Linked DNA regions of Chlamydomonas reinhardtii. The protein of the gene in region 1 interacts with the protein of each later gene in a pairwise test. Links are inferred from orthologs where the notes say so. Each region holds a gene or a part of one and is shown on either strand. Other genes may lie near its edges.

Region 1 (14,374 bases):
GTCCATAATCATGCCGCTGACCTGTAACTGTAAGCGTCACGCATCCTGCTGTTCCGCAAGTGTTCAGACACTCGAGCCTCTACTCTAGGGTGATGGCACGGTGGGTGACACGCAAGAATCAAGTTAGGGCCTAGGGGTGACTGAGGCTATCAACGAGCCAAGTTCACGCTTCCCCACAACAAGTGTTCCCCGGTCACGGGAAAAGGGGCTGAGCCCCTCCACAGTCTGAGGCCGAACAACCTCATCGCCCGGACATAGCCGGGGTCGGTTTCCACAGGCACATAGCCAAACCAGGTGCCTAGCAATCGCGATGCCACGGCAGAGCCAACCGCAGCCAGACGCAGCACAGTTGTCAACAGCCGCACTACTTGTCATGCCGCTACGCATGCCCTGCCAGCCCCACCGCGGACCGCTACCTAGACACCAGCCGGCTCCTCAGCCTGCGCGCTTGCGCCGCTTCTTGGGCTTGTTTGCGCCAGTATGGTACAAGCGCAAGGCTTGAGGGGGGCGCCAAGGATTCCACACAATAATCCCGCCGAAACTTGCGTGCCTGCCTAAACCGAGGTTGCTCTTGCAACGCTGATAACCAGCCAAATAAAGACAAGCATGAGACTCTAGTGCGCAGCGCCGGCAGCACCGCTGCCGTCCTGCGCCGGCTCTGCAGCCGCCGCACCGTACGCTGTGCCCGCAGCTCCAGCCGCCGTGCTACCTACCGCCTGTGCCGCCACTTCTCCAGCCGCCACTTCTCCAGCCGGCGGCTGCTGGCCGCGCGCCGCCGCTGGCGCGCCCGCCGCAGTTGGCACCGGACGCCCGGGCTCCACCCCCAGTCCTCCCGCCATTACCGCTGCTACCATAGCCTGCGCCTGCGCCTCCGCCGCCAGCAGCAGACGCGCCGCATCCTGCTGCTGCTGCCGCGCCTCGGCGCGCCGCCGCCGCAGCCTCACCACCAGCGCCAGACCGCCCAGCAGCGCCAGCAGCATCACGCTCTCGCCTGCATCCCCTAGCTGCAGCACCCCACCCAATGCACCCAGACCAGCCACGTCCATCCAGCGCCAGAACGCTACCTCAGCTTGGAACAGGGCCAGGTTTGGCAGCAGCCGCTGCGCGCGCGCCACCCAAGGCCCAAAGAGGCTCGTGTGCGGCGGGTGCAGCGCGAAGACGGAGTTCCAAATGGGGTCCAAGAAGGGCGTGGAGGGCAGGAGCGGACGCAGCTTGTCCCACCAGGCGTGCAGCTGCAGCCAGGCATTGGCCAGCGCCACAGGCAGGAACGCGTCCGCCTGCGGACAAGTAGAGACAGCAAACGGCAGTAACGCGTATGCTAGCGTCTGTGCACTTGCGCAAGAGGTTGTGCACATCAGTTCGGCTCTGGTGGGCGACAGACCGCGAGCATGTGGGCCATCTATCCACCAGACTCATGCCTCGATTGACAACCTCAAGCCGGGTGGTAGCGCACCTGCGTGTGCTTGGCCATGTTGTAGAAGCGCTTGGCTAGCTGCAGGTCCTGCGGCACGCCAACGCCAAATTCGTGCATGAAGCCCAGGTTGAACATGGCCTCAGCCGAGCGCTCCTGTGGAGGAAACGGGGAGGAACGGTGGGGTGGGTGTCAATGCGGTACGCATGAGCCAGTGACGTAACATGCGGACGCCGTAAAACGGCGCAGCGCTTCCAGGTCCGCACCTGGTACGCCTCGTAGTACAGCGCCGCCGACCGCACCCAGTCCTGCTCCACCCCGCGGCCGTAGAAGTACGAGTCGCCCATGCACAGCAGGCTGTGCACATTGGACTGCGCCGCCGACTGCTTGTACAGCGAGAAGGCCAGCTCGGAGGCGCCCAGGCCTGCATGGGGTAGGGGGGATTAGGTTGCCAAGTGGCGCCTCAGTGCGGATGGCTAGCACTTTGCAACCACCCGAAGTACCCCTGTAGGACTGGCATGCAAGTGCACCCAGTCGTCCAACGCCCGGAGCACGACGGTGGCAGGCTGGCAGCAGGAGCCCGCCTCACCCGGCGCATATCCTCGCTCCAGCATCCACGCGGCGTTGCTCTGTGCCACTTCCATCCCGAGGTCGGCGGCACGCAGGTAGCTGAGGAGCGCCAGGCCGTAGCGGCCGCGGAAGAAGTGCTCATGACCCTGCTGCACGGAGGAGGCGGCTGGGCCGCGCTCCGACAGCGCCTTCAGCAAGCTCACGGCAGGCTTGCAGTTGCTGCAGGGGGGTGGATGGACAAGCAACCAGCATCTATGTGGACTCATGCAGACCAGCATGGAGCTCCTGATCCCGCAACCGCTCAGGAAGCTCTTCAGTACACCGTCGCGTCATTCCTTCCCGCAAAAGCCGTGCATGGTACACCTCTCCTGGGGCTGCTCCTCACCGTGGTGTGCCCTTGCCCGCCAGGTGCATCATGGCGGCGTTGTACTGCGCCAGGCTGTGGCCGGCGTGCGCCGCCAATGTGAAGTACGACAGAGCGCGCTGCACACTCTTGCGCCGCACCCCGTATCCCTTGAGGTGCATCACACCCATGTAGAACAGAGCGTCGGGCCGGGCCTCTGTCGGGCGCAGGGGGATGCAAGCAGCGAGCGGGCGCGAGGGGTCCACACCGTTGTGCGCCACGCCGGCAAAGCATACTTTAAGCGTATCTCTTCAAACGTCGGCAGCCCAACGCGCCCACCCGTGTTCCTGCCACAGCCCATGACACCAGCCGCCTGCTGCCGCCTCCCGCTCCGCACCTGCGTGCACCTGCTCCGCTGCCTTGCTGAAGTACTGGAAGGCGCGGTCATAGTCCTGGCTCACGCCCCGCGCCGTCAGGTACAGGTAGCCCAGCCCAAACAGCGCGTTGGCGTTGTTGCGCCGCGCCGCGCGCGTCCACCAGTCCACCGCTTGCTCGTAGCTGCGCCGCGTGCCATAGCCGTTGGCAAACATTGCGCCCAGGTGCGCCATGGCGTCCACGTCGCCAGCCGCCGCCGCCAGTTTGAAGTATGCCAGCGCGGCGCCGTGGTCGCGGTCCACGCCGTGCGTGCCGTAGTTGAGCACCTGGAGAGCGGGCGGATGAATTTGACGCCATGGAGAAAAAGGAAGGGGTGGATACCGAACTAAGTATGCGAAATCACGCGCTCCCATCACATTACGACGTACCGTACGCTTCCTCGTACAGAGGTCGCATTGCGCACCCGGCACCTCAATCCGCTCACCTGCCCCACCGCCGTCTGCGCCTCGGTGTTGCCGCGGTCCGCGCTGTACTGGTAGTACTGCACCACCTCTCGATGCCGCTCACTGCGCAGGCCGCCCTGCGCCGCCTGCAGGTGCAGCCGGATGCGCTCCACGTGTGGCAGGCTCCCGGAGGGCGGTGCCAGCTCCGGCGCGATGGAGTCATCTGCGGCGCTGCTGCTGGTGCCGCCGCTGGCGCCGCTGCTGCTATCGTCGGCCGGCTCGTCGTCCTCCAGAGTCGTCGGCGGCGGCATGGTCGCCGCCGCCAGGTCGCTCACCTGCGGACGCACACCAACCAAGATCAGGTTGCAGCTGCTTCTCAATACAGCTCGCATTCCGTCCTAGCGCTCACCCAAGCCAAACCCTGGCCAACCCCACGCGTGTACCCCTTACCTTTTCGCCCACGGGCTGGTAGTATGACGCGGCACTCCAGCAGGAGCGTGGCACGCCCAGCCCTGTCAGGTGGCGGTAGCCCATGGCCATGCGGCTGGTCATGTCGCCGCCCGCGGCCCCGAAATAGTAGTGTAACAGCGCCTCCGCGGGCTTGGGAGGCCCGAAGCGCACGATGCCGTCCGCGGTCCAGCAGTCGGGCGAGTCCAGGCCCATGCTGTAGCACAGCCCCATGTGGCCCTGTGCCTCCGCGTCGCCCGCCTCCGCCGCGTTGCGGAACAGCTCCAGCGCCAGGCGCATGTCCTGGGAAACGCCAGAGCCGTCCTGCAGAATAATGCAAGAGCTTTAGGGTGCAAAGTTGCTTGCAAGCCGCATGGAGCGGGTCGGTGTCAAGCGGGTGCGTGGTGGGCGCCCGGACGGCGGCAACTGGCAGGGCGAACACTGAAACTACGGTAGTCGAAGGGGCGCTGGAGCCCGCACCTACCAGAAACGCCTTGGCAAGCTCCCTAACTGCTCCGCGGTGTGCGGTGTGAGAAATGTTCACAGATCCACCATAGCCCGGCAGCTGCAGCCCATCGGGCGCTGTTGCCGCACCGCGGCGGGCCGCATCGGCTGTCCCGTTGAACGGGAATGCCCGGCCGTGGGAGGTGCTGCTGAAGCCTGCTGCGGTAACCAGGTACTCGGCAGCCTTCTGCTGCTCGCCCCAAGTAAGCTCGCGCTTAGATCTGCAGTAGAGTATGGGCATAGTCGGCCACGTGGCACGCCACACAACAAGACCTGAAGGGTCTGGCTGCAGGTGGGTGACAAAACACGCCCGTGGCAATGTGTGTGGAGATCGTGTCCCTTGTGCAAACCCGTGCCCCTTCGCCACCCACCTGATCGCCATAGCCCTCTCATAAAGCTCCGATGCCGCTGGCTGGGCGTCCGCTGGCTTGCTGGCCTTTGCACTTGCGAGCTTGCAGTTTGTCCCCGCCACGAAGATGAGGAGTGTTGCGACCAGGCGGGTCGCCCCCCTCCACTGTAACTTCATGGAGATATGTTTCTCACAGTTGAGCTATTGTAGTGCGAGCGTTGGCGTGCACGTTCGAGACGGAGCGGGAGCGCCAGTAAACGCTCCGGCCCTGCCTACCTCATAATTAATGCGCTTCGAGTATAACAAGACATTAATTGACGCTAGCTGGGAAATTAGGCTCGGTCCTAAATGTTTTCCACTTACAGTTCGCCCAAGTTTGTTTGGTCCTGAATGTAATCAATGGTACCGGTAAACAAGCAGTGCAGAGAGCTTCTGGTGCCTAGTTGGTCCGAGCGAATTGGCCGAGTCCCATGCAGCGCCTCGGAAATCGCCGGTTGTGCCCCATCTTCATGTACTTTGAACCAAAGCAATAAGCTACTTTGCTTTCAGTCTGCTGCACCCCTGACTTACGAGTTCTCACGACAGCGCTGGGATCCTCGCCCCGACGACGCACCTTTGACCGCAACTTGAGGCCCTGCTGATCGTTTAACACACACGGCCAGCAGGGCCGATAGGAGACGGCCTATAGGGCCTCGTTGTGAGCCGAGCCGGCTCATCTCGCGCGCCCGCCGGGCTTTTATAGTAACAGACAGCTGCCATGAGGATTATGATCAAGGGCGGTGTTTGGAAAAACACCGAGGTGCGCACACGGCGCAGTGCGGTCTTTAGCGAGGACATCTTCCGTGGGTGGAGGCGAGCTCGAACTCTGCTTCTGTGCTGCTGCATGTAGGATGAAATCCTCAAGGCGGCAGTGATGAAGTATGGGCTCAACCAGTGGGCCCGTATTTCGTCGCTGCTGGTGCGGAAGTCTGCCAAGCAGTGCAAAGCACGCTGGTGAGCACAGGCGCGGCGGGCTACGGGGCGGGGTTGCTGAGCGGCAGGCTACGGCGTTGCCAACGGGTTATCCCACCGATGGCTGCTGCTTTGGTAGAACGGGACTAGAAAGTACCCACTCCGGCGGACAGGGCTACACGCAAGCAGGGGTAGATGCGGGCGGGTGCAGGGTGGGGTCCACCCGCCGTGTCGACAGGGCATGCACAGCCTGTCACATCGGCTGCACGGCTGTATGACGGACCTAGCTTCACGCGGCATCGCACGTCTGCGCCGTAGGTACGAGTGGCTGGACCCGGCCATCAAGAAGACGGAGTGGACGCGCGAGGAGGATGAGAAGCTGCTGCATCTGGCAAAGCTGATGCCGTGCCAGTGGCGCACCATCGCGCCCATCGTGGGCCGCACGCCCGCGCAGTGCCTGGACCGATACGAGCGTCTGCTGGACCAGGTGAGGAGCCGAGATGCTGGGGTGGCCATGGCGAGGGTGGGGGTGGGGATTGGGGAGCCGGGATGCGGAAAATGGAACAGGATCCCACCCACCCAATCGCCCACCCATCCAGGCCGTCGCCAAGGACGTCAACTACGATCCGCGTGATGACCCGCGGCGGCTGCGGCCGGGTGAGATTGACCCCAACCCCGAGGCCAAGCCCGCGCGCCCCGACGCGGTGGACATGGACGAGGACGAGAAGGAGATGCTCAGCGAGGCACGCGCGCGTCTGGCCAACACACGGTGCGCGGGCGTAGGTGCCAAGGGTGTGATGCTAGCATGATGGTGGCAGCACCAGCACCTGAGCTGACATTGTATACAACTTGCATTGCCACGTGCGCAGTGGTAAGAAGGCCAAGCGCAAGGCTCGTGAAAAGCAGCTGGAGGAGGCGCGGCGCTTGGCGCAGCTGCAGAAAAAGCGCGAGCTGAAGGCGGCGGGCATTGACGTGCGCGCCCGGAACAAGAACTCGCGCGCCGTGGACTACAGCAGCGAGGTCGCCTTCGAGCTCAAGCCGCAGGTGGGCATGGCTGAGCCGTTCAGGGCGCGGCGGAGCGGCGGTATGCTAGGTTGGCGGTTGCCCTGCCATGTGTGCAGTTGCTGGTACGGTGGCCTAACACGCGTGGCCCCTTTCGCTGTGTGCCCCGCAGGCCGGCTTTTACTCGACTGCGGATGAGGAGAAGACCACTCGCTCCATGCAGCAAGTAAGGAGACCGGCAGCGCGCACATTCCTTGCGGGAGCAAAGCCAATGATACTTTCCGGGCGGTGCACCGAAAGGACGGTCCGTGACACCCTGTTTGCTCTCGGTGTTAACAGGAGTTCCGCCCTGTGACGGTGGAAGAGCTGGAGGGGCGGCGGCGGAAGGACATTGAGGAGGCGCTGATCAAGAAGGACGTCAAGCGACAGAAGATCAACGAGATGCATGACGCGCCGAATGCCGTGGCCAAGCACATGGGGCTGGACCAGGAGGGGCCGCGCCGCCGCGGCAAGCTCATGCTGCCCGCGCCGCAGGTGCGTGCACAGCTGCGGGTGGCGGCTTGAGGCGTAGTGGCTTCGATACTTGCAGTCGCTGGCTGCAATCACCTCAAGCCCCCTAGGATGATAAGGTGCAAAGGCCCCTGGAGTGACCAACTTGGAACTAACTCGCCGCAGGTGAGCGAGGCGGAGCTGGAGCAGATCGCCCGCCTGGGCGTGGACGGAGCTCTGGAGGCCAGTGTGTCGGAGGGCGCAGGCGGCGACGCCACGCGCACGCTGCTGGGTCAGTACAACCAGACGCCGGCGGCGCGGCTGGGCATGGGGCCGGGCGCCACGCCCATGCGCACGCCGCGCGCGGGCCCTGGTGGCAGCGACCGTATCATGGCCGAGGCGGCGGCATTGGCCAGGCTGCAGGTGGGCAGGGCATCGTGCCATGGCACGCCGCTGGGAAGTAGCGCCCGCGGCTCGTGACTTGCATTGAAGTTACCCCGGGGGCAGCAAGGGTTTGTCAGTGCTTTCCCATGTGGTCAAGTGTCGGCTGTCGCTGGCCGCTTACCTTCCAAGATGTGTGTCCGCAGGGCATGGGCACGGTGCTGGAGGGTGGAGAGGCGGGTGTGGACGTGGCGGCTATGGACTTTGCTGGTGTGACGCCGCGCAACGTGGTTGCCGCCACGCCCAACCCACTCGCCGGAATGACGCCCTCTGTGCGCGGCGCTGGCGGCGCCACCGGCGCGCGTGTCGTGCCTTCCATCGCTGGCGTCTCCGCCACGCCCTCCGTCGCTGGCACGCCACTGCGGGCGGGTAGCGGTGGTGTGGGCCCCGGCGCCACGCCGCTCATTCGCGACGCGCTGGGCCTCAATGAGGCGGACGCGCTGACGATGGAGGCAGCGATGAGCAAGCGCGCGGCGGCGGCGCGGGCAGCGGTGATGCGCGGCGAGCTGCGGGAGCGGCTGGCGGGGCTTCCGACGCCGCAGAATGAGTACGCGTTCGAGGTGCCTGAGCTGCCTGAGGCGGAGGAGGAGGCGGAGGACGCCATGGAGGAGGACCTGGCGGACGTGCGGGCGCGCAAAGCACGGGAGGAGGCAGAGCGCCGCCGCATTGAGGAGCTCAAGAAGAGCAAGGTGCGCGCTGGGTTCGAGCTGGTTATGGCGGGGTTGTTTCCACCATTCCCACGAGAGTGAAGTGCTGGGGTGCTTGGAGCAGGCAGGAAGATGAAGACGGGCCCAGTTGTAATTCGCATTACCTAATGGCACTTGGTTGCGGCCCCTGCGCTCACAGGCTCTGCAGCGGCAGCTGCCCCGCCCGCTCAACCTGGACTCGCTGCCGGCCCCCAAGCCGGCGGCGCCCAGCACTGCGGGCGCTAGCGCGGAGCAGCTGCGGGACCGGGCTGAGGAGCTGGTGGCGGCTGAGATGCGCGGACTGCTGCAGCACGACGCTGCCAAGTACCCAGTCAAGGATGGCCGGTGCGTGGCTGGGGCCTTGTGTCTTGGTGTTGATGCCGCCAGCAGGGGGCACTGCTGAATCTGCCATGGTGCTGCCGCCAACTGTTTGGCAACGGTGGCGGCTGCTGTGGTGTCTGTTTGTGCAGGGACGCCCGCAAGAAGGGCAAGCAGCAGCATGCGGCTCCGGGCCCGGTGCCGGTGCTGGAGGAGTTTGAGCTGGAGGCGTTGCAGTCGGCGGCTGAGCTGGTGGACAGGGAGGTGAGTGTGGTGCAGTCGGTTGGAAGCGTTATGTGGATGGGGCTAGCTTGGCAATCTTAAATCCCCTGAAGAGACAAGCGCTACCAGACCCTGATATATGCATTCCTTCATCATCGCGCCTGGACACAGGTGGCTTACCTTCGCAGCGCCTGGGACCATGCCAAGCTGAGCCCGGACGACTACAGCGAGGTGTGGATGAGCGTGCACCGCGACCTCATCTACCTGCCATCGCGCCAGCGCTACGAGCGCGCCGCCAGCGCCACCAACGTGGACCGCATCGACTCGCTAAAGGTGGGGCCAGGGAAGGCGTCAGAAGATGGGCAAAGTAGCGGCGGTTTTCCCACGTTCCTGAACCTCTCAGGCAAGCCAGCTTATCAGTTATCACGCAGCGCGCGCTAACTCCCGTGCGACCCTTCACGTCTTGCAGTCGGAGTTCGACAACGTGCGCGCCGACATGGAGCGCGAGGCCAAGAAGGCGGCTAAGCTGGAGGGCAAGCTGGGCCTGCTGCTTGGTGGCCTGCAGCGGCGCCATGGCGATCTGACAGGCCGCGTGGGCGAGCTGTGGGCGCAGGTGCGCGACGCAGCTCAGGAGTTGGTGTGCTTCAAGGCGCTGCACGAGCGCGAGTTGCGCGCCGCGCCCGAGCGTCTGGAGGCGCTGGGCGAGCTGGTGGACGCTACCAAGCGGCGCGAGGTGGACCTGCAGGAGCGCTTCAAGGCGCTCACCAGGCGCCGGGACGAGCTGGCGGCGGCACTAGCGCAGAAGCGGGCGGCGGCGTCGTGAGGCACGGGCGCGTGATAGCGGGCGGTGGGGTGTCGGGCGGTATGGCGAGAGTGGGCATTTTGGTTTGGTGGGCGTGCGCCATAGAGCAGCCGGTTGCGGGTGCGTGTTAAGGAATGCAGCTTGGAAGGCTGTTGTGGCAATGTGGCCTGGTGTATGCTCGCCTGAGTGCTGACGGCAATGCGTTCGGCGGGGTACGGGCAGTTGGACTACTAGGACATGCAAGGTGCGCCCTGTGCATGCTGGAGTGTCCTGTAAATGGCCGAGCGAGAAGCAAGAGGGCACATGCGTCAACATGTTGTTCAGCAGTACAGCCTACTGATGCGTCACGTAAACAACTGAAACCCGCGAACAGTCGGAGTGGTCTCATTCCAATCGTGCTACGGAAGTGTTAAGTCCGAGGAGGCTCGCGTCCTGCCACCTGCACTTACAACGCTCATCCGTCACCTGACCCGGGCCACACAACATACCAACCATTTGCACCGCCCCCATGCACGCGGACAAAAGAGCCGCACAACCTCTTTCATGCGCGTGCCCCGCCAACCGCACGCCCCCACAACGGGCAGCCGCAGCCTGGGGTCGCCTGAGTCCACGTGCAAGTGCACACAGCACACGGGACAGCCCCGCCGCAAGCCCGCACCCACTCCCGCCACGTGCCCCCAGCACCATGTGCATCCCCAAGTCGCCCATCTTCGTGCCAGCCGCTCGACACTCAACTTTATCCTACCTTGTCGGCGGTGTTCACGGCGCACATCGCTGCAATATTGCCTATTACCACTTCCACCCTGCCTGACCCTGTTGATCCCAAGTTCCTGGTCCGAGTGCACCTTTGTGAAAGCTGATCGGCCCATAGGCCGACAGTCCTTGATGGGGCATGTGGTTAGTTTGGCCGCATGTTGCAGCGGCCAGCGGCTACTGTACCTCCATTCTTACACCCCTGCTTGCTGTACATCACCTCGCCCCAAAACCTTAAGCGTTACCAATTACGTTCCATGCTTCTTTACTAGAGCTACTGTGATGCATGTATCACCGCCCACTGCCGTTGGGCGGAGGTAGAAGCGGTGCAGAAGGCGCGGATGGCGCAGAGGATGCGCCGCCATCCGAGGTGGCGTTCAACCCGAATGCGGCCGCCGTCTCCGGGTCCATCACACACACATTGATGGACGGGCGGTGGCCGCCCGTCGCAGCGGTACCGTCGCCCAGCACTATCGTCATCGGTGGTTCCGAAGGCGGCGGCGGCCCATGGAAGAGGCCGTTCTCGACCGTTACCTCCTTGCCCTTGGTCTGGGGCGTCGTCATCATGGGCGCAGGCGCCATGTATGGTGCGCCCTTGCCACGCTCCACATCCGCACCGTAGGCAACAGCGGCAGGAGCGGCAGTGGCGGTGGCTCCGCCGCCGCTGCTGGCACCGGCGCGGCGGCCCTTAACGGGGCGGGGGAAGTCCTTCATGCGGTAGCATGTGCAGCCACACACGCCGCCGCCACCGGGCATGTCGTCCAGGTTCTTCAGGATGAGCAGAGCCACCAGTGCCGCGGCCCACGCAAGCACGCCGCTGCCGGTTGCGGTAACCCACTGAATCATGACATCACTCGCCAGGCCACAGCAGGCCCAGCTGGTGACGCCGTAATAGACATTGAGCACGGCGGCGCGCTCACCCAGAGTCAGCAGGTCGGACAGGTGGGCTGACATGTCCGCAGCCGCCATTGACAAGTCAGCCAGCAGGCCGCCGAGCCCGTACTGCACGCTGCCCAGGCTGCCCGGCCACTGCGTGGTCGCGGACGATGACGTGTTGGTGGCGTTGGCCGCAGCCGAGGGGTCGGCCGGCAGCAGCAGCGGGTCCAGCACCTGCGTCTGCAGCAGCGCCGCGGCGGCAGACAGGCGAGAGGTGTCGCCCAGGCCGGAGGCGCGCAGCACCGCCGGCAGCGAGCCACCTACGCCCTGCAAGTAGTAGCGCACCAGCGGGAACAGCGCCGAGTTGGGCGACACCTCCGACAGCACAATGGCGTCAGCGCTGCCGCACGTGTCGTGTGCCACCACGAGGCTCGCCGCGCCGCCCCACGCCGCCGCCAGCACGACGCCGGAGACAAAGAGGTGGATCATGAAGAGGACTACCAGGCCGCCGGGCCAGTTCAGGAAGACTGCAAGGCCCAGCAGCAGGCAGGTTGCGATGACGGCGGCGTAAATGGCGATGGGGCCCCAGTAGGCGCCGTTTGTGTACTGTTTGGAGTCGGCGCCAGTCAGCTTGTCGGTGATGTTCTGCAGGCGGTTCACCAGCTGCTGCCTGACCTGAGCCGTGGCGTTGAGGGCCGAGGTTGTGGCGGTGCCGGTGCTGCTGCTTGCCAGCATGGCACGGCGATGGTAGCCAGTGGAGCTGGCGTTGGAGGAAGACGGCGAGGGAAACGCACCAGGCGTGGAAGGAGGTGGAGGGGACAGCAGCGCCTTGCCCAGTGCGTTGTCCAGCTGCTCACCGATGGCGGACAGGCCGTTGGAGATAACGGAGCCAATCAGCGCGAGCGAGCGTCCCAGCGGCTGCAGGAAGACCGAGGGCAGGTAGCCGGAGGTGGCGTTGGCGCTGGCGCTGGAGGAGGTGGTGGAAGTCCAGTTGACGGCGGCGAGGCGGGCGGAGTTGGCAGTGAAAATGCTCTGCAGCCTTGCCAGCGCTGCGGTCGTGACATTCAGGTGCACGATGCCGGAGGTGGCGGGAGCGGTGGAGGTGGAGGCGGTGAGCCATGCAATAGCAGAGGTTGCGTTGGCGTCCAACGTCGCCAGAGTGGCCTGGAGCGAGGAGCTGGCGATGATGTTTGTCGCGTTGGCTGCTGAAGTGACAATGCTGCTGTAACCAGATGGCGCCGGGGCGCCGGCAGCAGAGCGGGCACTCGCGACTGCGCCGGTGCGGGTGGAGTTGGCAGTGGTGCGCAGGCTGTCATAATTGGCATCAGTGCGCGCGCCAACATACGTGGACAGCGCAGTGGAGACATTTCCCGCCGGCGTCTGCAGCGCCACCAGCGCGGCGCGTAGGGAGGTGAGGTAGGACAGCGTGGGCATCTCGTCCGGCAACCTGCTGGTGCCGTTGGCGCCGCCATTAGTCACATTGGACAGCACCGCCTGCACGTTGCCGCATGCCGCAGCGATCGCGATATCGTCCATACCCACGAAAGGCGACAGAGCGGACAGCGCGGCCTGCGGCCAGGCCAACGAGGGCGCGACCACGGCCGCCGGCGAGCCGGCAGTGGCGTTGCCGCCCGCCACGACAGCACTGGCGTTGCTGTTGCCGTACACGGACTCCAGCGCCGCCTGGATCGCCGGCACGGCATCCATGGCGGCGCGCTCCAGGGTGCCCGAGTTGAAACTGAAGATGGCGTCATCAAATGCCGCCAGCTGGGTGCGCAGGCGGGCCAGGCAGGCGCGGCCCGCCGTCACGACACCGGCAGCCTGCTGCGGCGCGGTGCCCAGATACGCCACATCCAGGCGGCCCAGACCCGCCATCACTGGCGTCAGTGGGGATGCGCTGGTGGCGTTGGCGGCGGCGCGCAGTGCACTCAGCGCCGCCGCCAGGCGGGTGTACGGCACCTGGCGGGCGGCGGCGGCGGCGACACGCACGCTGTCGTACAGGTAGTCGATGTTGTCGATCCAGGCGCTGAGGACCAGTGCCGCTTGCGCGGCCTGCAGATCTGACACGCGGGGATCGCTGCTGGTGGTCGGGCTGCGGGTGGCGGGCAGTGCCCCCAGGGCGCTGTCGTAGCCAGCGAGGCCGGAGCTAATATTGGACACGAGGGCGGGTGCAGCCGCGACTGCGGCGAGCGCAGGCGTGGCCGCGATGAGGCCGGAGGTGGCTGTGCTGCTGCCGGCAGTGGCGTCTAGGAGCGCCGTGGCAGCGGCCAGGGCGGGGCCCACTGCAGTGCGTAGGGCAGTGTCTGCGGCCAGGAGTGCCGCGCGTAGGTCAGAGGGCTGGCTGGGTGCTGCAAGAGCAGTGTCCAGCACGCCCCCGGTGCACTGCGGATCGCAAGGAAGGGAGCAGGAACAAGGGACAAGGTTGAAAGGAGCACGCGCCCGTCGAGTTACGGTAGTACGGTACGGTAGTACGGTAGTACTGTATGCATGGTCTAGCAAGTAACTACATGCATGGGTCCAGCAAGTACCGGTAGCAGCTTCTCCTTTCGTCACTGCCGGTTCCGTGCCAACTTACCGTCATATCCGCAGCTAGGTTTGTGGTGGGCAGGCCGTTGGTGAGCAGCACCGCCGCACCGGACATGAGGGGGCGCAGGCCCGCGCCGCCAGACTGCGAGGGCATAGGCAGCCTCAGTCATAACCGGCCACCTGCAAGCAACCAACCGTCTACCCATCCCCCTACCCGCAACCTTTGCCATCATCACACCGTACAATATTGCCTTAAGAACAGTGTCCTTGATCCTGTGCACTCACAATGAGGCTGTCTGAGGCAGTGAGCAAGTCGCCAACGTAGTCGCCAGCCGCGTCTAGCCGCACCGCCAAATCCGACACGCGGTCAGTGGCACGCGGAAGCATGGCCATGCCGGCCGCGGCCAGTGCGATGCTGCCAACGGCGAAGAAGACGTACATGACCTTGTAGCCGCGCATCCAGGCGTCATGCATCACCTCGTAGGTGAGCAGGCTCTTGCGGCGGGCCAGGCGATGGTTGCCGCAGCATCGGCTGCAGCACCAGCCCACGCAGCGCAGTGTCCGCCTGCCGTCCGTGCGCGTCGACGTGGCGCAGCGGGGCCGAGATTAAGGCGATGTGCGTGGTGCTAAGCATGTGTAAGAAGAGATGTAGATACCTATCTGTGTATGCATGCAGTTGCCGCCGGGTGGTGAGATGGCCACGCTGTTACCCGGCGCCAAACACAGGCTGGAAGGTGGCAGCAGCTGGGTTTCGTGCCTCCAGTTCTCCGTCACCCTGACCGACCCTGTCAGATCTACGTCGCCCCCCAATCTCACCATAGGAGAAACAGCGCTATCAGCGCCAGCACAACGCATAGGAAGGCTAA
Region 2 (14,174 bases), on another chromosome or scaffold:
GTAGCGAAGTCCTGGCTCCTGACGCAGCCCAGCATCAGGTTCCATACAAAGCATATAGTCGCCAAAGCATGGCTCCACGCATCCAAGCGACGTCGCTGACAAAGCCAACGCGCATGAGCGCCCCCACTTCGCTGCATCCTCTCGCTGCTCCGTCCTGGGATCAGCACATGTATGCCATATATTTTTGAGGAGTGCGGTTACCAGTACCGTTGTCAGGAGTAACTCTGCCTGAACTGTGTGAGCAGCTGCAGGAGCTATGGTGAAGGTCGGGCTTTGTATTGTTTGGCTAAAAGGGCCTGTGGTAAACTTCTGGTACGCATGTTGACGACCTCATTTATGTGTGTGACTTCGTAGAGAAGTGCGCGCACCCGGATCCCAAATCCACAGCACCGGACTTACACCGCGCCACGCCGGGCCAAGCGTAGCCGGCAGCCCGGTACATTGCGGGAATTAAGGGGTGATCCAGAGGCCATTGTTGTGCTGGAATAATGCCCAGCCTGTCCCTCACTCCCTCCCTCCGCTCCTGCCCTCAATGCGTGCCTCAGTGCCCAACCTGCAGGAGCTCCTTCCCTCACGGCCGGCTCCCTCAAGGCCGCCTTCTGTGCGGCCGCATCCCTCAAGGCTTCCTTCCACCAGGGCGCCTCCCTCGCTACCTCCTTTTGTCCTTTTTCCAGGCTACCGCCACCTCCTTTTCCTCCTTGGTGGCAGCTACCTCAACCCGCAATCCCGCATCCGGTTTGCATGGAACTGACTGCTCCACGTGGCCCTTCAGGTGCGTGTCAGATCCGTCTCCGACATGTGTGAACACGCTGTTGCCTCCCCACCACCAGCGCCGTGACTCGACTTAACGTGCGCCAGTAAATACTTCGTCCCCCAACACACGCAGCATAGCACGTTTTTACACCCCATGCACGCTCACGCGGATTCGTAACATCTACACCTGTTGCCGGCCCGCGCAGCACCCGCACGTCGGCACGTGCAGGATCGCCAGGGGCTCAACCTCGTTCATCCCCATGTGCGACGCCGCAACAACGAGTGCTGAGCCCAGCCGTGCCTGCATCTCTGCCAGGAGTGTCGCCGTGTGGGGGCGCGTTGCGGCTGGCGGCTGAGCTTAGCGAGGGGTGTGCAATGCAGAATGCGAATCGCGCCTGCAACGTGCTGGCGTGGATGGGCTATGGTTGTGGCAGCTGGCCATGCATGTCCTCACCGGCCGCAGCCGTGCAGCTGCTTTCACGCGGCCTGCCATCGCCTCACGCCGCACCATCAAATGTGCGCCCGTGGCCCCCCTCCTGCCTCAAGCCTAATCCCAGCCCCACACCTGTGAGCCGCTGTAGCCACACAGCTCAGCCCTCATCCGCTCACCGCGCGCCGCCACACGCCGCATCGCCGCCACCGTCCACCGCAGTCACCACCACCTCCCCCCCTGCCCCACTCCTCCATCCTTGCCCTGCTGCCCCCCCCCCTCACGAGTACATGTAGTCCTGGCCGCCCGGCACCGCGCTCCAGCTCTTGAACACGTGCACGTCCGTGCACAGCTTGCGCATGGCCTCCGTCACGTGGCTGGACACCAGCAGCCCGTGCACCTCCAGCCCCATCTCCTCGTGCGCGCGGGAGATGGCCTGTGGTGCAGCAGCAGCAGCAGCAGCAGCAGCAGCAGCAGCAGCAGCAGCAGCAGCAGCAGCAGGGGGGGGGCGGGTTGTCCTAGAGGGCAGGGACGAGGTCTGGGCCAGGAGGGGCGGCACCAGGTGGCGTGCACGGGTCAGAGCGGGCGCCAGGAGGAGCGGACACCGCATGGGGGCGTGGACGCGCTGCCCCGCCCTGACTGCCTGGCCAGCACAGCTCCATCCCCCTCCACCCGCGCCCCCACCTGTATGATCTTGTCGTCGGGGTTGGGTATCTCGCCGTCCGTGACCATGAGGATGTCCGCCTGCGCCCACTCCGCCTTCGCCAGCCGCTCCAGCGACAGCTTGAGCGGCGCGTCCACGTCCGTGCCGCCCATGAAGCTGCAGGACAGGAAGGCCAGCAGCTGGTCCAGGCTGTCCACGTCCACAGACAGCTGCAACTCCTGGACCTCGTCTGAGGGGGGCGGGGCGCGGGGGAGGGGAGGGCGGGTGGAGCCGGTGGAAGTAGTTAGCGGGTGGTAGGTGTGCGCCTGCAAGCTGGAGCCCTACAGGCAACACACACAAGTCGTACTAGCGTGTCGGTTGCCCACAGTCGAACCACCAGTATCACGCCCTGCCCAGGACCAGCCGCCCCGCCCCGCCCCACTGCCATGCTGTCCTTCCCTGCCCTTTGCTCGCTGCCCTGTGCGCCTCCGCGCCCGCAGCGGCCCGCGCCACTCACTGGGTCCGGAGAAGGCGTACAGGTAGCACTGCCGCCGCTGCCGGTGCGCGCCGCGCAGGCACTCCAGCGCCAGCGCCTTGGCCACCGTCTCGCGCGCTCCCCGCATGGAGCCCGAGGTGTCCAGGCACAGGATGATGGGGCCCATCTCGGCGGCGGGCCGGATCTCCATGCGGCTGGTCACACGGGCCGGCTCGTCCTCCAGCCAGCCTGGGGGAACGGGGAGGCGTGGGGTGGCGCGGGTTGCAGGTAGTGAGGCGGTCTGGGACATGATTACATGCCCGAGCCCAGGGGCGGGGACTGCAGGTACGGACAGTATGCCGACGGCGGTGATAAACAGGCGCAGGGGACGCGGGGGCGGGGGGGGGGAATAAGAGACACTACAGGCGCCCACGCCCACGCCCACACCACGCCCACGGCCCCACCTGTGCGGTCGTAGCTGAGCAGCATGCGCTCGGCGCGCCGCACCCGGTGCAGGCGGCGTGCGGCGTGCGCGCCAGGCAGGTAGTACTCCTGGGGGGGAGGGGAGAGGGGTTATGAGATTCTCGTGTGTATGGGTGGGGGGTCAGGGTCCGTGACAGGGGAAGGCGGGGCTCTGTTTTGGGCCGGGTGACCATTGCATGACCATTCGGATCTATTCTTCGGCCATATATCCCCCGCCGCCCCCCCCCCCGCTCACCTCCAGGTCGAACTCGCCGCTGCTGACGGAGGCGGAGGCGGGGATGTGCGGCTCAGACCCGGCCGCGTGTGGCGTGCCGGACCCGGACCCGGACCCGGACCCGGACCCGGAGGCGCCCGCCTGCTGCTGCTGCCGCCCCGCGCCTGCCGGTGCGGGCTGTGTCTGCGGCCTGCCCCTGCGCGGCCAGCCGTGCGCCAGCAGCGCCATCTCACTGGGCAGCATGCGGCTCAGGTCGCCGGAGCGGGTCAGGCCGCGGACCTGCAGCGCAGGCAGGGTGGGAAGGATGAGGGGGGGGGGACGTGTGGCTGTTGTATTTGGGTGGGGCACGAAGGCAGGGGCAGGGGCTGGCAGCTCCCACCCACGTGTCACCGGAGGAATGCAACAGCCCCAGAGCCCCACCGGCGCCACCAGCCCCACCGGCCCTCCGGCACACCCAACGAACCCCAACCCTCCTCCCCCTGGCCTACGCCCCCCCTCCCCCCTCACCACCCCCTCACCTCCTCGGGCTGCAGCGGCGACCTGATGACACCGGGCGGGTAGCCGCGCGCCTCCAGCTCCTCGGGCGCCCGCCGCAGCGGCCCCTTGCCGCCGCCGCGACCTAGCTGCCGGACCAAATCGCGAAGCTCAGGAACCTGAAGGGGGAGGGGGGGGGGCGTGTGTGTGTGTTGGGGGGGGGGGGCAGTCAGGAGGGGGGCGTGTGGGGGCGTGTGCGTACATGGGCATTGTGGACTGTGCTGCGCATGTGTGTGTCAAGGATGCATATCATACGCGCTTGTGCACATGTTGGCTTTGCAGCCCTATGTCATTGTGCGGGGAATTTCGAGCCTTCACGGGTCACCACCCCAGTTTGGGCTGGTATTTACAACCCACACCGCACCCACCCCCCGCCCCCGCCCACCTTCTCCAGCACCTCCCTCAGCGCGTCCAGCTCGCGCCAGCCGCTGCGGCGCCAGGTGCCGCGCGACAGGTCGAAGCCCTCCGCGCTGTCCAGCAGAGCTGCAGGCGCAGATGCGGGTGTGTGGGGGGCAGGAGGGGAGCACCAAGGGAGAGGGTTGACACCGTGAGTAGTCCGTGTGCTGGGGGGGAGATTGCCGTGTGGTGGCATATGCTGCATGGGTGCACAAATACACGCCCTTCCTCCCTCTCCCTCTCCCTTCCTCTCACAGTTGAGGTCGTCAAAGGCCATCTCGCCCGTCTCCAGGTTGTCCATCACCTCGCCCATCTTCGCCTCGAACTGCTTCACAATGTCCTCGGCAATCTCCTCCAGCTGGGCCGACAGCGCCTGCTGAGACTCCGAGTTCTGCTGCCTGCAAGGGGGCGGGGCGGGCGGTAGGGGCGACGAGTAGGGCAGCCATTGGACGTCAAGCAAGGTCAGTGAGGATGCGGCGAGCTGGTAGGCGGTCCAGAAGTCCGTACGTCCTCCTTCACGCCCCAACACACCAGTGCGCAATGCCTAACCCAAGCTCCCACCTGCACCCTACACACCCTTTGCCCCGCACACACACTCACTGCTTGGCCTCGCCCTCCATGTCCTGTGGGCGTTTGTGCATGCGCGGTGGTGGGGGCGATGGAGTGGACACACTGCCAGTGAGGCGGTTGAGAGCAGGTGGCCTTGCGCCGTGTGGAAACCAGTGCGTCAGGCACGCCCACATACCCCCTCCCCCTGCCCCCTCCCCCCACAGCTCACCTGCAGGCTGATCTGCAGCTGCTTGCCCTGCTGCTGCTGTTGCTGCTGCTTGCTCTCGTTCTTGGTCTGCTCCATTGCCTGTGAGATGAAGTGGGGTCAGATAAGGACACGCGCGTTCGCACACCCGCACACATGCTCGCGCACACACAGTCACCTCTTGCATGCACACAACGGCAAACGCCCACACACACCCTGCCCATACACACACACCCACGCCCACACCTCCTGCATCATCTGCTGCAGCTCCTCCTCGTTGATCTCCTGGCGTGTGAGGGGAGGGAGGCAGCAGGCAGCAGGCGGGAGGGGGCAGGCGTGTGGGGGAGGCGGCAGGCAGGCGGGTGGGGGTGAAGGCACCCGGAAGCGAGGTAAGGCCCAGCTGCTCCATCGCGTATTGCGGCCAGGGGTTGTCACCCTGCGACTGCCACCCGCTCCCTGCCCTGCAGCCCTTCATGCGCAGCACGCAGCACGCGGCGCACGTTTGCACACACACACACACACACACCATTCCTTTTTGAGCACACGCACGCACGCACGCACGCACACACACACACACACACACACACACACACACACACACACACGCACACATACACACATGCACGCACGCACCATCTCCTCCGGCGGCGGCGCGTCGCCCTGCTGCGGCTGCTCCGAGCCCCCGCCGCCCGCCGCACTGGCCTCCTGGCTCTGCTGCTGCTGGTCCTGCTGCTCCTGGTTCTGACTGCCCTGACTGCGCTGCTGCTGCTTCTGTTGCTGCCTGCAGATGCCACAGCGGCCACAGCATCAGGGACACATGAGCCACCACCATTGGGCGCCGCGGCACACATCGCAAGGGTGCCGAGGGGCGCTCAGGACTAAGCGACAGGCACACACGTTCAAGGACGATGCCTTGTGTCTATAACGGCGCCTAGAACGGTGGACGCAGGACGCAAGCGGCCCGGCATAGCACAGAGCTGGCCCGGAGCACACCCCCTAGGCTGTCCGAACCACACCTGCCCCCCCCCCCTTCTGCCATCCCTAGCACACTCACTGCTGCTTCTGCTGCTGCTGCTGCTCCGCCGCCGCCAGCTTCTCCTCAAACTCGCGCGCCAACCCCAGCATCTGCTTTATGAGGGTGTCCAGGATGGCGGGGTAGCGCCGCGTGAAGCGCGGCATCTCCATGTTGCGTAGCGCGTCCTGTGGGCGGGCGGGTGGGTGGGTGGGGAGAGCGTGTGCAAGCGCATGGGGCGTTGGGCTTGGAGTTGGGCTTGGGGGTTTGGTCGGTCGCGGGAACAGATGCGTGGGGTAAACGTGTTCCTTGGGAATAGGTTTCCCCTGCCTCTTCTCGCCCCCCCCCTGACCCTCGCCGTGGCCCCTCACCGCGAACTTGCTCCTAAAGGGCTCCTGCGGCCATTCCAGCTCCTCCATCTTGGGCAGCGTGCTGTGGGGGTGGGCACGTGTGCATGAGGGGGGGGTTAGGCGGGGGGTGAGAACCCTGCAGCAGCAGCAGGCCTCCAGGGCCGCGCCTCAAAGGCGGGTGCGGGTGTGTGAGCGGACCAGTCAGGACAACCCGGTGCTGCGGCGCCAGCCCGTCTCGCACACGCCCACGAGTGTCCGCGCAAGCGCAACTCCCCTCCGTATCCTGCACGGACTGTCCCTCCCGTCCTCCAAGTACCACCGAACGCCCTCCCCCACTCCCATTGTGTTTTGTTTAGTTTGGGCTAATACTTACAATCCCCCATCCCCTCCCCCCGCCTCCTGCTCACCCCCTCTGCAGCGCCATCTTCCATGCCGCCAGTGCGTCCGCGCGCGCCCTCAGGTCGGTCATGCCGCGTGTGCCGGGCAGCTCCAGCAGCGACCCCAGCATCTCCTCGCTCAGGCTGGCGCGGTTGGACCAGTTGGGGCCCAGCAGCCTGCGGAGGGGGGGAAGGAGGAGGAGGAGGAGGCGGGGGAGGAGGAGGAGGAGGAGGAGGAGGGATGGGGCTCGCTTGAGTCAGTGGGGGACGAGGCAAGGGGAGTGGAGGAAGAAGGGAGGCGGGGGGCAGCGCTGCCATACCAGTGGGAGGTAGCGGTTAAACCCTAAGGCTTCACGGGTACAGGGAAAGCTTATGCAGGTTGCGGTAGTCGGGAGACTTGAGAATACAGGCGCACGCTGTCAGCCTTGTCGGCCCGCACTGTCTACACAGGAGGCTGCGGCGGGCCTTTCCTGCTACCTGCCATCGCCACCGCTTGCTGCCTCCGCCACCGCATCCGCCACCGCCTCTGCCCCCTCTCCCCCCGCACTGCTAGCCACCGCCGCTCCCCCGCACTCACTCGAAGCCGAAGGTAGGGCGCTCCGGGTGCTTGGGATCCACGGAGCGCACCCGCACCGAGGAGGAGGACGAGGAGGGCCGACCCAGGGGGCCACCGGGCAGCGGCTGGTGCGACGCCGGCGCCAGGCCGGGCCCGAAGCCAGCAACACGCCTGGCGCGACACGACCCGCTGCTACCGCTCCACTGGTGACACGACGCCACCGGCCGCTGTGAGCGCCCAGCGCATGATCGTGCGCCTGGCTGAGCAACCTTGCCACCTAGCAATGCCATTTCCCGAACCGGCCCTAGTAAGCCCGACGCGCGCAGGTCCGGGCAAAATAGGTTTTTCTGTTTAGCAGTGCTGGTGAATGACGTTAGGTAGCCATGCCTTCCAAGAAAGAAGCACTCACAATATCAATTAGGATTTGCTTCGTGTGTTGTGGAAGTTTTGGCCAGAGGGGTTGTCATGAGCACCCGAGCCCAATGCATCAGGTTTGCAAAACGGGACTTGCTGAATCCGCTATCTGACTTATTGCATCAATCGATAGAATGACCTACTAGGACCAACGCCTCGGCTGTGCTTTGAACCTACCGATCGCTTCTCGGACCCAAGCTGCTTGGCGAGGAACGCTCTGTTAAACATGGCTGCCAAGACGTCACAAGCAACTCTAGCACTAGAATATACTGCCCATGGCGCCGCCAAGGGCTGGCGAGCGAATGAGCACCTTGTCGACGCGCTGCCCTATGTGGACTCGGTGCCGCCGGAGCTAAAACCTCATGTGGAGGCCCTCATAGAGGAGGAAAAGCGGAGAAGCACAAAGCTCCCCAGCGACTACCTGCGCGAGATGCCCTCGGTCCGCGCGCCAAAGTTCGATGACCACCCGGTCCTGAAGACCGAGTACGAGCGGTGAGCAGCTCGGCAGCGAGGAGGCTCTGCAGGCTGATGATGACGGGCCCGGGGGCGGGGACGGGTCAAGCCAGGCTACGGAAGGAAAGGGACGGGCTGGGGGATGTGGAGGGCCACCGCCACGGTCCAGCTCCTCCCCTCCCACTCACCACCCACACACACAAACCCCCTTTCCCTGCCTCCGTGTTTCACAGTGTGCGCAACAAGGAGCCAATGGCGCCGCTGGATTCTGTTCGCTACCGGCTGGAGCCGCCGCCGCAGGCCCGCCGCGGCGACGTGGGCGCGTGGAAGTCCTCGCTGGACAACGCGGCGGCGCAGCTGGAGCACCAGCACCTGCGCATCCTCAACCAGGAGCTGCTGCTCAAGTATGGAGACAAGGCCTGGAGGGCGCAGGTGGGGCTGGGGAAAGGGGGCGGAGTGGCTGCGGAGGAAGGGAAGGGGGAAGGAGGGAGGGGTGCGGTTAACGGATTAAGGGGGGACGTGGACAGGGGCAAGGGCAGGGGAAGGGAGGGGGAGGGCTGAGGAGAGAGGGGTAGGCGCGGGGCGGGGTGGAGAGAGCTAGCTGGTGCCACCATCCCTGGATACGCCGGCACTGTCGGCATTCACCCCTGCCTGACCCACCCCACCTCCCGGCGGCTTGGCGCCCTGCTGCCCCGCAGGTGGCTCTGGACGAGGCCGCGGTGCGGGGCCTGGAGGCGCAGCTGGCGGCGCTGCGCAAGGAGACGGACGGACTCAACCGCGAGCGCAAGCTGCAGCAGCACGCCGCGGGTGAGCCGAGATGGCAGAGGGAGGGAGGGAGGATGAGGGAGGGCGGGAGGGAGGGAGGATGCCGGAGGGAGGGGCGAGGGCGCAGGAGGGGCAAGAGATGCAGGAGCTGAGCGTAGGGTCGAGCAAGGGGATTGCATGGTCAGCAGGGAAAGCGAGGAGAGGCTGGTCACCAAGCTTAGGAACGGGGGGAGCGTGCTCACGGTACTGGGCGTGCAGCAGAGTAGAGGGCAGCAGGGCCGCACCGCGGGCGCATCATGGCAGGGGAGGACGCGGGTAGGGGCCGTGGGCGCGGGTGGATAGGCCGGACCGGAAGGTTTGCGGTCGTGGCGAATGCCGGCCGGCGGCCCCCTCCACTCGCTCGTCCGCTCACCCTCAAACCCCCTTTGCCCCCCAATGCTCTTCAGGTTCGGAGCTGTCCAAGCTGGAGCGCCAGTACCTGAGCCAGGTGCGGGGACGGCGCTGGAGGGAGGGGGCGCGGGGGCGGGGGGAGCTGGGGGGGCGGTGCGGTGCGGCGGTGCATTGAGGTGGTGCTGGGACGTGTCGGCCGCGGGCCGAACCCTGCCGGGCAGGGACTGGCCAGCACCGCCCATGCTCACACGTGTAGGCTTGGACGCCCCCATTGATTGCCCAGCCATATGCCTAAAGCCCCCGTGCCCTGCCGGCCTGCCATCAATCCCCCCAGGTGCGCAAGAACGCGGACATTGAGCGCGCCTGCGACCGGCTGGAGGACGCGGTGGCGGCCATGGAGGCGGAGCTGGACACACACATCCGGGCTGACACAGGGGCGGAGGCGGAGGCGGAGGCGGGGGCGGCGGAGGGGCAACAGGTGCGGCGGCAGGGGATGCGGCAGGGGGTGCGGGACTTTGACACATGACGAGGGGCGATGGGGCCTGGGGGCTGGGGGCCGGCAGAAGGGTGCGGGGCAGGCCATGTAGGTGGCGCCAGGGCGGCTGTGGGACAGGGGCTGTAGCACAGGGACTAGCTGTGGGACAGGGGCTGTGGGACAGGGGCTAGCTGTGGGACAGGAGCTGTGGGACAGGGGCTGTGGGACAGGGGCTGTGGGACAGGGGCTAGCTGTGGGACAGGGGCTGTGGGACAGGGGCTGGGGGACAGGGGCTGGGTAATGTAGTGCCCGCAGTCGGAGGTAGGTCCGCACGCACTGGGTACTGGGTGCTGGGTCCACAAAGCGCTGTGTGCACATCCTTCCCAACCCTACCGGCCCGGTGCTACCTGGGTGTTGTGTGTGCCTGTGCACCCAGTGCGCCACATGCTCATACGTACATACGCGCCAAGCTGCTGACCCCCCCCCCCCCCCCGGCTTGGTCCCCCACAACGGCTGCGCCTGCAGGGCCCCGGTGCGGCCGGGGAGGCGGAAGCGGCGGGCGCCGACAAACCCGCGGCGGCGGCTGACGGCAGCGGCGACACGGACATGGCGGACGGCGCGGCGGCGGCCGAGGGCGCGGCAGCAAACGGGACACACGCGGCCGGGGCAGAGTCGTGAGTGAGAGCACACACGTGCAGTGCCGCGCTGTAGGGGCGGCCGGGTGTGGTTGTGGGCGCGGCGGCATGGAAGCGTTGAGGCTTGGCGGTTGACTTGAGGCGGAGGGGGCCGCTGGGTATGCACTGGCGACGCGTGGGGCGGCATTGTCGTTCGATGCTCGGTGGTGGTCATCACGCACGACGCCGCTTTCGACATGTTCAGACAGAGGCGGCGGCGGTTGGGGTGGTTGGCACGCACCGAGGCGCATGGGTGGGTCCGCGGGTCCATCCAGGCCACAGCTGCAGGCGGTGGGGCGAGCTACACGGCTTGGGGCGTCGTCCTCAGGATAGGGGGGCCCTGTGTGTGTACCGGTGCCGGCAAACAGGCAGGCACCACACACGAATTGGCCTGCCTTGAGTGTTGCGGTGTACATGCCGGGGCGCTCGGGACTGTGCCCGGTTGCCGAGTGTGACAGGAAGCGTGTAACGTGGGACTCTGGAGGGTTGCATACCTGGTGCACCGCTGACAAGGATCTGGATTGCTCACCCTGGCCAGAGCCGGTCACACGGGGCACATGGCGCACATACACGTGCATCGGACTGCCGCCGGGCTGGGGGGTCTGGGGGGAGGGCCTCAGCATTAGGCGCAGTCGGACCTGGTCGAGCCTGCCGTAGTGGCGTAGTCGTATGTCCGGAAACCCGGCCGGCGCAATGGTCGCTGCGGTGTTGCTCAGCCCCAAAAGCCGGGGAGCCCCTGCCGGCCTCGGACAGCCCCGCGTGACAGTCTCAGTATATCGCACGCCAGGGCCTCCGCGCGTGTGTCGGCGTGCCCCGACCCAACGTGAGGGTGGCAGCACTCACTACGCTCTAACGCGCCGCCGGCACCAGGGCGAGTAGGGGGCTTCGTCGTGCCAGTCACACTGCACGGTAGCGTAGAGTTGTGGAGGGATGCTTGACTTGCCGTAGTTACCGTATTGTTACAGGGTCGCCTGCCGTGCCGCAGCAGCTGCAGTGCTGCGCACGTCACGGGGTGATCCCAGCGTCAGGCACAGCGCTGCCGCGGTCGCCGCGCCTGTCGGTCGCGGGGCCCTGGGGCGCCCACGTGCAGTCACACACGTCCAGTCACACACACACACACACACACACACACACACACACACACACACACACACACAAACACAGATACGCGGTACAGCGAGCGCGTGCTGCACGTCGCAGCCGCTGGCTTCCGCTGACCTGCTGCCTGCACGCCCCGCCTGCCTCCTCCTCAACGTCCACATGTCGTCGGCGACACCACTTAACCGTCATTCATGTCGCACACACAGATACAAGCACACGCCCCCGTAGGGCTGCGCTCCTGGGCGCCAAGGGTGGCTTCGCACAGCCGCGTGTAAACGCGTCCGCGCTACCTTGTAGCTCGTCTGCCACTCCACACCGCTCAGCCCCTCACACGCATACACATCCACCAGCCCCTGCACAGGCTGCCCTGCTGCTCATCCTGTGCCGGCGTGCACCAATAAAAACCTAACCTGAGGCTGGCAGCACCCATTACGCGCCTACAGTACACGGCGTCTGCTCGTCTGCTACTTCTGCCCGCATCGCGAGGTAGTTATACTTGTGCGTGTCACGTTCCTGTCTGAGGGTATTAAGTTGGTGATCTGTAGCATTCTAGTAATCACACGAGCACACGAGCACATAAGCACACAGCAGGCGCCCTGGGCTGCGCCGCCGACCCAGATCAGACCGCCTCAAAGCATTCTTCACACGCGCGGACATGCACACACGTGCAAAGTGTTCCCGCATACTCCACTCAACATGTCATGGTGCGCGCGCTGTGCAATTATTGTGCCGCCGTAACGCCGCCACAATCTTCATGTGGCTGCTTCACAGCCCCCTCACACAGCTCCATTCCATCACGTCAATACTCCTGAGCGTGTCAACTTGTCATGAACTCGATCGGCGTTCAGACTTCCTCTCAGGGCCTTTGCCCTGCCCTGATTCGCTTCGTCAGTAATAGAGTCTGATCTGTATGACCCAGCAGCATCATTAGGACTTCATCTGTTGTCGTGTGCGGGCCTTGCCCGCCTAAGGGCGGCTATACTGCACCGCACTAAACTCGACTTGGCCAATTGCCGCATCATGTGATCTCTCATGCAACTGGGCCACTTTGTGTCCTACCTGCCACCCGTCGAGGGCCCCACTGCTCAACTGTTGTCTGCTCCGGCCCCCACTCGATGTGTGCCACCTGCCTCTCCTACTGCCTACCTCCGTCTGCCCCTGTCTTGTCTCCAGCTGCTGCCAGCAGATACAGCCCACTGCACAGCTCAGCTTGCCGCAGGAGCGGCCGCAGCGCCCCACCCGGAAAGCTCATCTGTGCGAGGTTTGCCTCCGTGCTTAAAGCAATTCATCCAAGCCCACGCCCCGCAATGTTCAGTCGTCATTTAAGTAGTATGGCACACGCACACGCACATAGACAGAAATAAACACAGTTACCCCAAGTACACGCACGTCTACACTGCTGTTGTCACGGTTTGTAGTCAACCTAAGATCAATGTTAAGCGGCATCCAGGCGCGCAAACGCCTGTCCGCTCGCTTTCAGGACCCGCATCCGGAATTGAAACGCCGGCCAGCCCAATCCTCCTTCGCCAAGCCTAAGTTTAAGCCTAAGACTATTCTGAAGCATGGCAACATACGGAAGAGTGAAAAACGTGCACCGCACAGGGGAACAAAAAGCGCACTGGAAGCGCAAACGCGCAGGCACGCAACGCGCACAAAGGTGGCGCGTGCGGTAACGCCCGCCCTCTGTTAACACCAGGCCCAGCAACCCAGGAAGGTGTGCCGGTGCCCCGGTGCCCCGGGGTGCAGCGGCCACAGCGCCAACACGGCGCGTGGCGCACCGGCCCCGGTGACCGATGACTCCGTACATGAGTAATAATGACTCTGCTCCGCAGATACACGCATGTCCTTTTAGCGAGAAACACCTGAAAGCTATCGTAAGGCCGTTGAAGGGTTGCCCACAGCCGCCTCTACCATGGCAGCAGTGGTCCTCCTCCTCCTCCTCCTCCTCCTCCTCCTCCTCCTCCTCCTCCTCCTCCTCCTCCTCCTCCACATGCCGGCGAGCCCCCGCGGCGGCGTAGGAGCAGCCCCTGTCCTCCCAAGAGTGCTCCCGCACATCCCTACGCCGGTTACACCTGCCCCTGCCTGACCTGCAGCTGCTACAGCCCCTGTTGCTTCTGCTTGTGCTTATTCTCCAGCTGTAATCGCTGCCCCTGCTGCTGCTGCTGCTGCTGCTGCTGCTGCCACCGCCACGCCAACTGCTACTGCTGGGCCGGCCGGTCCAGGTCCGACAGCGGCTCCTCCACCACCTCCATCATCAGGTCGGACCGGCTCGGCGCCACACCCGCAGCCAGCTTGCCAGCAAAGCCCGGCGAGCGCCGCAGCAGCGCCCGCAGCGGCGGCAGCACCGCGCACCGCACCACATCGCCGCGGCCAGACAGCGTCAGACCAGTGGCGGAGGCGGCGCCACCGGCCGCCGCCGCGGCAGCGGCAGCGGCAGCCGCAGCCGCGCCCGGCCGGCGGTGCGAGAAGATCACGTGGAAGCGCGGCTCACCGCCATTACCTGCTGCTGATGCTGCGCCCGGGGCCGGCGGCTCCAGCAGGTGGGGGTGGCGCAGGCGCTGCAGGTAGCTGACCTCGTGTGGGGCGGCGGGGCCGGCGTGTGTGAGCGCCACGCCGTACGCCGCCAGCACCACGCAGTGCGGCAGCGACAGCAGCTGCGCCAGGGCCAGGTTGTCCAGGCCGCCGGCAGCGGCGGCGGCAGCAGAGGAGGCGGAGGAGCCGGAGCAGGCAGAGGAGAAACAGGAGGAAGAGGCGGGCGGCGCGGGGTAGGAGCAGGTGGAGGTGGAGGGCTGCGCGCCGCCGCGGCGGTAGGAGCCGTTGCCGGCCTGGCCCTCGTCCTCATCACCGCTGTCCGAGTCCGAGTCCGAGTCTGAGTCGGAATCGGAATCCGAGTCAGACAACGAGCAGCGGGACGCGGCCAGGGGC

What was found.
Region 2: the proteins of CHLRE_03g197350v5 (region 1) and CHLRE_17g697350v5 interact in binary tests that used the Arabidopsis thaliana proteins (3 or more experiments, as listed by UniProt). The link is inferred for Chlamydomonas reinhardtii from reciprocal best matches to the Arabidopsis thaliana genes CDC5 and MOS4.

The regions. Positions count from the first base shown.
Region 1 is NC_057006.1:6,667,631-6,682,004, reverse strand, and holds CHLRE_03g197350v5 (uncharacterized protein), read left to right. Parts: upstream 1-4,979; 5' UTR 4,980-5,199; coding exon 5,200-5,241; intron 5,242-5,331; coding exon 5,332-5,435; intron 5,436-5,711; coding exon 5,712-5,880; intron 5,881-5,992; coding exon 5,993-6,162; intron 6,163-6,262; coding exon 6,263-6,437; intron 6,438-6,567; coding exon 6,568-6,621; intron 6,622-6,734; coding exon 6,735-6,929; intron 6,930-7,070; coding exon 7,071-7,307; intron 7,308-7,471; coding exon 7,472-8,014; intron 8,015-8,171; coding exon 8,172-8,356; intron 8,357-8,481; coding exon 8,482-8,593; intron 8,594-8,722; coding exon 8,723-8,884; intron 8,885-9,020; coding exon 9,021-9,374; 3' UTR 9,375-9,641; downstream 9,642-14,374. Other genes in the region: CHLRE_03g197400v5 (uncharacterized protein), read right to left, coding at 615-1,277, 1,454-1,567, 1,678-1,835, 2,001-2,200, 2,367-2,541, 2,722-3,025, 3,184-3,477, 3,593-3,913 and 2 more; CHLRE_03g197300v5 (uncharacterized protein), read right to left, coding at 10,398-13,364, 13,558-13,650, 13,794-14,073, 14,325-14,374. UniProt on the Arabidopsis thaliana protein: Component of the MAC complex that probably regulates defense responses through transcriptional control and thereby is essential for plant innate immunity. Possesses a sequence specific DNA sequence 'CTCAGCG' binding activity.
Region 2 is NC_057020.1:165,929-180,102, forward strand, and holds CHLRE_17g697350v5 (uncharacterized protein), read left to right. Parts: upstream 1-7,527; 5' UTR 7,528-7,617; coding exon 7,618-7,883; intron 7,884-8,077; coding exon 8,078-8,276; intron 8,277-8,542; coding exon 8,543-8,651; intron 8,652-9,055; coding exon 9,056-9,096; intron 9,097-9,333; coding exon 9,334-9,477; intron 9,478-9,999; coding exon 10,000-10,152; 3' UTR 10,153-10,629; downstream 10,630-14,174. Other genes in the region: CHLRE_17g697300v5 (uncharacterized protein), read right to left, coding at 1-35; CHLRE_17g697334v5 (uncharacterized protein), read right to left, coding at 1,464-1,619, 1,868-2,076, 2,344-2,550, 2,766-2,853, 3,020-3,277, 3,517-3,651, 3,918-4,015, 4,184-4,326 and 8 more; CHLRE_17g697406v5 (uncharacterized protein), read right to left, coding at 13,448-14,174. UniProt on the Arabidopsis thaliana protein: Component of the MAC complex that probably regulates defense responses through transcriptional control and thereby is essential for plant innate immunity. Involved in mRNA splicing.